Arabidopsis thaliana: one gene and its partner. The protein of the gene in region 1 interacts with the protein of each later gene in a pairwise test. Each region holds a gene or a part of one and is shown on either strand. Other genes may lie near its edges. The genes, in order: ABCC4 and UMAMIT11.

What was found.
Region 2: the proteins of ABCC4 (region 1) and UMAMIT11 interact in a protein complementation assay, tested with the Arabidopsis thaliana proteins (one large-scale study listed by BioGRID).

The regions. Positions count from the first base shown.
Region 1 is NC_003071.7:19,572,647-19,576,582, forward strand, and holds the start of ABCC4 (multidrug resistance-associated protein 4), read left to right. Parts: upstream 1-2,019; 5' UTR 2,020-2,297; coding exon 2,298-3,936. Other genes in the region: AT2G47790 (Transducin/WD40 repeat-like superfamily protein), read right to left, coding at 1-70, 152-300. UniProt on the Arabidopsis thaliana protein: Involved in the regulation of stomatal aperture. May function as a high-capacity pump for folates.
Region 2 is NC_003071.7:17,063,979-17,067,914, reverse strand, and holds the start of UMAMIT11 (nodulin MtN21 /EamA-like transporter family protein), read left to right. Parts: upstream 1-2,101; 5' UTR 2,102-2,400; coding exon 2,401-2,588; intron 2,589-2,682; coding exon 2,683-2,745; intron 2,746-2,831; coding exon 2,832-2,948; intron 2,949-3,147; coding exon 3,148-3,373; intron 3,374-3,734; coding exon 3,735-3,893; intron 3,894-3,936.

The DNA of each region.
Region 1 (3,936 bases):
ACCAGTCACCGGCGAGTAAAGCTTGACGGTGTTGGTTGATAAGGAAACCGCGATTGCTGTCCAATCGATTCTGTCACAAAACCAGAGTTGGGTTCACTTTCAGTAAACTAATTAGTATGGTTATCGAAAAGAGAGAACAGAAAGCTTTTACTTTGGGACAATCTGGAAGACGTAGTCAGAGCCGAAGTTGGTCTGAATAGAGTTCTTGAGCCCAAATTTCTTCACGTTTTGAGCCGGAGAAGAATCCGAAAGCTGACGATTTTGAACCTCCACTTCCATCTCCGACGACACTTCTTCCATTTGCCGTTTCAGCGAAATTGATAAGGGTTTTAACGGTCTAGGGTTTGTTCGTTGATCAAAACGAAACGAGGATTAGCACTTACCTCTCTAAGTCATAGAGAAGGTTATAACTCTATAGGTCAAAATTTAGGCCTGTTTTAACCTTTTCGGCCCATTTAACGCACGGTCCAATACGATTATTAGCCCAAGGAAACAACAACCAACTCGCTCGCTCACCGTGCGCTTCTTCTAAACATGTCCATAGAAACATAAACATACTAAAATGTGAAAAGATTAAATTAAAAAACGGATAGAAACATATAGAAAGCCACGTGATGGTAGCAAACAGATTTAGTGGTTACAACCAGATATCATTTGATATTGAGATTTATGAAAATGTCCTTTTTCAATGGCTCCGATCGGTCAGTGATCGGATCTAATATTATAAAGGTGTGTTGACCCATAACATAATATTATTACTAATACAAGTAACATGCGGTAATTAACTCTATGTCGATCTTTTTTCTCTGCATATATATCTTTTAGTCGGTTTTTTCGTTCTTGCTAATCGTTATATTCCTCTACACATGGCAATGGAAAAGAAACGAGTAACAACAACAAGTAGCCTGCAAATAATTAAGTGCGATAAGACAACTCTGCTCTGATTGGAAACTGATATTCCGGCCCGTCCCCCTTTTATTACGTAGGAGTAATAAAATTGGGAACGTCAACTTATATTAATCATGACGACGTTTTCTCAAGGGAGCAAATTGTACGTTACGTCTCATATTATCACCACTTTTTTGCAGCAACACAGTTTTATTTCACACAATACAACAACACTTTATATTATATATGAGAGTGATAGAATTTTATCATTCCATATTTCCATGATATAAAGGGTTCCAATAATTGGTCCAATTTTTCTAATAAGACTTTTCTTATTCTCATAGACTCTTCTTATTCATCTTTCTTAATCAATTCGACCAACTCAGTGGAAGACAAATCTCACACGACCCTTTCCACTTTTTGGTAACTTTATTATTAATTTATTAGTATGGTGTAGTTCCTTTCTTTCTTCTGCTGATCTTGTCAACAAAATACTAAATTTTTCCTAAGCGGCTGTTTATATATTATTAACAAAGGTTTCCGCGTGTCTCTTGTTTAACTAGTAGACTAAAAACAAATCGTAAACTCGATTTTCTCAACCAAATTTAGAAGATACTACGGCATGTAATTAGCTAATGATAAAAGATTCGAATTTTCGTTCCAATGGATTTGTCTTTTCTTTTGCCCAAAACCAAGAATTTGTCTTCTCTTGGCAGTATTTAGCTAGACAACGCATATAGCTATATATTTTGTGTACACTGGTCAAGGTCGTGGATACGTCATTAATAATATTATTTCCAATAAGTCCTATTAAAACATTAAACAACTTTGAGTTTTAAAACAAACTTAGTGTAAAGAAAATAAAAATAGCAGACAGTTTACGGGTAAGACTAGATGACCATATATGATTGAGTGCATAAAACATCTTTTTTCTTTCTTTTTTTGAAAAAGCGAAACTAAAAGATTATTAGTTGTTGGAAATCAGCTTAGCGTAATCTTCGAGAAAATGACTCTAATGCTAAAATACTGATTTAATCAATTTTCTAATGGTTTGACCCAACAGACTTTTTTTTTTTTCTATCCTCTAATAATATATAATCATATAGTAGTAATTATTTAGTAGATAATATGATTAACACGTGAATAGCAAAGTTTCTATCATTTTTATTCAAAAAAAGATTCATAAGTAATAAAATGATAGTCAACTTTTCTTTTTCTTTTTGTGTTTGGCCTTTTGTTGCAGCGTCATTGTTGTACACCACCAGTCACACTATTGTGGGATGTGATAATCGGTACCTTTTAATGTCAGGAGCTTCTTTCTTACATTTTCCACTTCAAACAAACCGATAATTCAGAGGAATTTTCTCTTCCTCTCTCTCTCTCTTTTTTATATTTTTTCACTGGGAAAAATGTGGTTGCTTTCGTCTTCTCCATGGCTCTCTGAGCTCTCATGTTCATATTCGGCTGTTGTAGAACATACGTCTTCAGTTCCAGTACCAATCCAATGGCTCAGATTTGTTTTACTCTCTCCTTGCCCTCAACGCGCTCTCTTCTCCGCCGTTGATTTTATATTCCTCCTCTGCTTCGCTCTTCACAAGCTCTTTTCTTCTCCTTCTTCTTCTTCCGAAATCAACGGACACGCTGAGATTAGGAAACCTCTTATTGGTATCCGTGGAAGAACCCCAACCAGAACAACCGCATGGTTCAAAACGACGGTCGCAGTCACCGTTCTATTGTCGTTTTGCTCCGTCGTGCTCTGCGTTTTGGCCTTCACTGGCAAGCGACGGACTCAGAGACCATGGAACCTCATAGACCCGCTCTTTTGGCTTATTCACGCCGTTACACACCTAGTCATCGCCGTTCTCGTCCTCCACCAGAAGAGATTCGCTGCTCTAAATCATCCCTTATCTCTACGAATCTACTGGATTTCCAGTTTCGTCCTCACGTCTCTCTTCGCCGTCACTGGGATTTTCCATTTTCTCTCCGACGCCGCCACGAGTCTGAGAGCAGAAGACGTCGCTTCATTCTTCTCCTTCCCTTTAACCGCCTTTCTTCTCATCGCCTCCGTCAGAGGAATCACCGGCCTCGTCACAGCGGAGACCAACAGTCCTACGAAACCATCCGACGCCGTTTCGGTGGAGAAATCCGATAACGTCTCTCTCTACGCGTCTGCTTCTGTTTTCTCGAAAACGTTCTGGTTATGGATGAATCCTTTACTCAGCAAAGGCTACAAATCTCCACTGACGCTCGAACAAGTCCCCACGCTTTCTCCAGAGCACAAAGCAGAGAGGCTCGCGCTTCTCTTCGAATCGAGTTGGCCCAAACCGTCGGAGAATTCTAGCCACCCTATCCGTACGACTCTACTCCGATGTTTCTGGAAGGAGATCCTCTTCACCGCGATTCTAGCCATCGTCCGTCTCGGCGTCATGTACGTTGGTCCCGTTCTCATCCAGAGCTTCGTCGATTTCACCTCCGGCAAGAGATCCTCCCCGTGGCAAGGTTATTACCTCGTCCTCATCCTCCTTGTTGCCAAATTCGTCGAGGTCTTGACGACGCATCAGTTCAATTTCGATTCCCAGAAGCTTGGGATGCTTATAAGGTCAACTCTAATCACTGCACTCTACAAGAAAGGTTTAAAGCTCACAGGCTCTGCGCGTCAGAACCACGGCGTAGGACAAATCGTGAATTACATGGCCGTAGATGCACAACAGCTCTCTGACATGATGCTTCAGCTCCACGCAATCTGGCTCATGCCTTTGCAAGTCACTGTTGCACTAGTGCTTCTCTACGGGAGCCTAGGCGCGTCTGTTATAACCGCGGTTATTGGGCTGACTGGAGTGTTCGTCTTCATCCTCCTGGGGACTCAGAGAAACAACGGATACCAATTCAGCTTGATGGGAAACCGAGATTCTCGGATGAAGGCCACCAACGAGATGCTCAATTACATGCGAGTCATCAAGTTTCAGGCTTGGGAGAATCATTTTAACAAGAGGATCCTCAAATTCAGGGACATGGAGTTTGGTTGGCTATCCAAGTTTCTTTACTCCA
Region 2 (3,936 bases), 2.5 Mb from region 1:
ACTATAATATTAAAATGTGCAAGAGATCATTACATAATTGGAACGAAATTTTGATCATGAAACATATGGTTTACACTAATACACGAATAGAAATCCTATTATGATGAGTTCATGCATGATACAGTGGTTGGTATACTTCACTATAAATTTATATGATCTTGAACTCGAATATAACATAGAATGATCATATATATATATATATATATATATATATATGAAGACATTCCAATATTGTTACTATTGTTAAATAATCAACATCATATCATTTGTACAACACTAGTCAGTTGGTTCAATCATAATACTTCTAAAGTACTTATGTTTTTATACATGCAGACGAGTGAGCGTGAGACATTTCCTCTATTTGGATAAGTATATTGAATTATTAATTATTAACATAATGGATAGTTTAAATTTCAAAAAAATAACAAAAAAAATAATGATGGATAGACTAGAACCTCCAATTAAAACAATGCAAATCAAGATGTTGAACCGATCGAACCATCAAACTTTTTCGGATTGCATAATAAAATAATTCGTCTTTGTTCTCATTCTCACCGTGCATATACATATCAACAAAGTCATGCGACCTAATATAATACAGTTGAATCTATCTAATTTTTTTAAAAAAAATTAAGATACGAATTCCACACAAACCTTCTCCAACTAAGTAAAGTAGCCACTATTGTCACTTAAAGTGACATTAATGCATATTCTATAAAAGATAATGGATGCCCAACTAAACATAAGTGAAGTATTTGGGATATATAATAAAACAAAAGAATCCAATGAGTTATGCTATGTGGTTAGCTTTTGTTCACGAATTTATATATTGTATAATATATGAGGTTTACATTTCGGATAAGCAATTCTAGGCAGATCGATGATATGTACGCAAACATGTATAGATGTATTCAAGAATTGAGTATATAATTGCTTATCCGAAATGTAAACAACAGGTATGAACATATATAATTAAGTGCCCAAAACAGAACATATATTCAAGATTTTCTTGTACTAATAATATTCTTTTTTTTGGTAAGGTGTTCTAATAATATTCTGATTAGATTAACTTTTAACCATATATAACTCATAATTATTTTGTTACGTAACTCTAAAAATATCTGGGGTTTTATTTCTTTGTGAAGAGATCGATAACAGACAAGACATGTAACACATATTTTGTCCACCTTAAATTTCTAAACATGAAATGTAGTTTTGAGATATTGGCCGGTCCCAATGTACGTAGGATTGAACCCAATTGATTATTGCTGCCACGTGGAACTCAATCTGTCCACTTATGCTTCTTCATTGATTTAACCTCTTATTAAAGATCGATGATTTATGACCATGAATGTAGTAATTAGGATAGAGGTGGACATACGTCAGATTCCACACGTATATAACCCCATATTAGCATTACAATGAGTTAATCTTTTTGCAGAGGTCGGTCGATTTGTCAAATTTCTACTATACATTAACCAAAAGATATTCTACTATATATTAAATAAAGCAATTAGCTTATGATGGTGATGAGTCATGAGACCACATATATCGAAAACCACGGTAGACTAACAATCGCAACAATTTTTCTGTGGCTTTCAAGTTTCTTTTAATCTTTTAACAATACGCTAATCCGATCCGGCTAATTTTAGTTCAGTTTGGATTTTGTGATTTTATAGACAAGTCCACAGTTTAAAAAAAAAAAAAACCATGTTTAAAGCCAATTGCATGAATAAAATAATTTACATGCATGTTAGAATTACGTTTTAGTGTCCATATGTACTTATTAGTTTTTTTGTTTTTTTTGCAACTACAACATATACTAATGTTGTTGTTTTTTGTGCAACTAAAACATATACTACTATAAACATGTAAATTTTGATTGTTAAGAAATGAGGTGATGTTAATTAATCACTTGTTCCACACTGATCACACTTTTAACCTCGACTTTTAGTAGCCACAAGTTTTATTTAAAATCCTAATATGATTGGTTTCACGAAGTCATATAAACAGAATATATATATGTAGAATGTTTTATCCACTTACTTTAGAGATAATGAATTCATGACACCCAATTCTTATGCCGAATCAAACCGGAATAATTAACGCTAACGTCACCGAAAAAAAATAAAATAAAAATAACAAAAATACAAAGGAAGAAATCAGAGAACACTGAACATATCCGAATAATATGCTATATATACAAAGAACCTCTCACCACTTGGTTCTCAGGAAAAAGCACATTCTCCAAGTGTTTCTCTCCTCTCTTTTCCTAACTCAGTTTTCTTATATACATAACACTAATTTGACAATTTTTTTGTCCTCGAGGATCCTAAAATAACTCCAAAACTTTGATTGGTTTTTCTTGCTCTAAAACAAAAACAAAAACAAAATATTAAGATGGGATTAAGGATGTCAGAATCAGCTAAACCTTATTTTGCAATGGTCTGTCTTCAGTTCGGATACGCAGGTATGAACTTAGTAACTAAAACCGTCCTAGACCGCGGTATGAGCCATTACGTTCTTGTTGCATACCGCAACGCTTTTGCCACAGCCGCTATCGCACCCTTCGCTCTTCTCTCCGAAAGGTACATATTTCTTCTAAAGAAATCGATTCTCGCAAGACTTAGATTTTTTTTTTTTTTTGGTAGTAATAATTATGTATTGGGGATTTTTTTGTAGGAAAGTGAGATCAAAGATGACGTTTCCAATATTCATGCGAATATTTCTTCTTGCTCTTCTCGGGTTAGTCTTCTAACAGAACCGTTGATATCAAGAAGATTTTGTAATAATTACGATTAAGGCTAACATGGAAGGTTTAATTTGAACAGGCCGGTGATTGATCAGAACTTATACTATATCGGTCTAAAACTCACATCACCAACGTTTTCCTCCGCCGTTAGCAACATCGTGCCTGCAATTACCATTATCCTTGCCACACTTTTCAGGTAACATACAAAAAGCAACTTTTTTATTATTTACATTTATTCATTTAACCAAAGAAAAAGATACGTTTTATTATATTTTGGTACGTGGATATGCACCAATTCAAAAGTAGATGTATAGTAGTACAATTAGTGTATGACGATCGATGTCATAAATTATGAATATTGATGTGTGTGTTTTATGTAAATATTTGTTTTAAAGGATGGAGAAAGTGGAGATGAGAAAAGTAAGATGCCTGGTAAAAGTGATGGGGACGTTAGTGACAGTGGTTGGATCCATATTGATGATATTCTACAAAGGTCCTTTCATTAATTTCTTCCGGTCTCACCTCACGGCCGCCTCTTCGCCGCCGACGGCTGACTATCTTAAGGCTGCCGTCTTCCTACTCCTCGCTTCCCTCTCATGGGCGTCGTTCTTTGTTCTTCAGGTATGTATCAATTATATATTGATCCTGTGTATAATATAACTCACTTCTTACATCACTAAAAAACGTATAATATAGTTTTTAGGATTAGTTTTAAATTTCCATCAACATAGGAAAATATAGTTTATGCACCAAACCATGTAGGGGATACGTAAAAGTAATATAAAAAATTTGAAATTTTAGATATAGTATTAATAATGTTACTGGGATGTTGTTTCTAATTTTTCATGTTATATAATTTTTAAAAAAATAATTGGGTTAACTATATCTAAAATAATAATATGATTGGAATTTTTTTTCACTGTTTTCGTAATATATAAAAATATAGATTTAACGAATTAGGCTTTTATATTTTGTTAAATAGGCTGCGACTTTGAAGAAATACTCAGCCCATCTCTCAATGTCAACAATGGTGTGTTTCATGGGAACGTTACAGTCTTTAGCCCTAGCCTTCGTAATGGAACACAATCCTTCTGCTTTGAACATCGGTTTTGACATGAACCTTCTCGCTTCTGCCTACGCGGTTCGTCCTTTATTTCATCATGCCACTTTCACAAATAACAAAA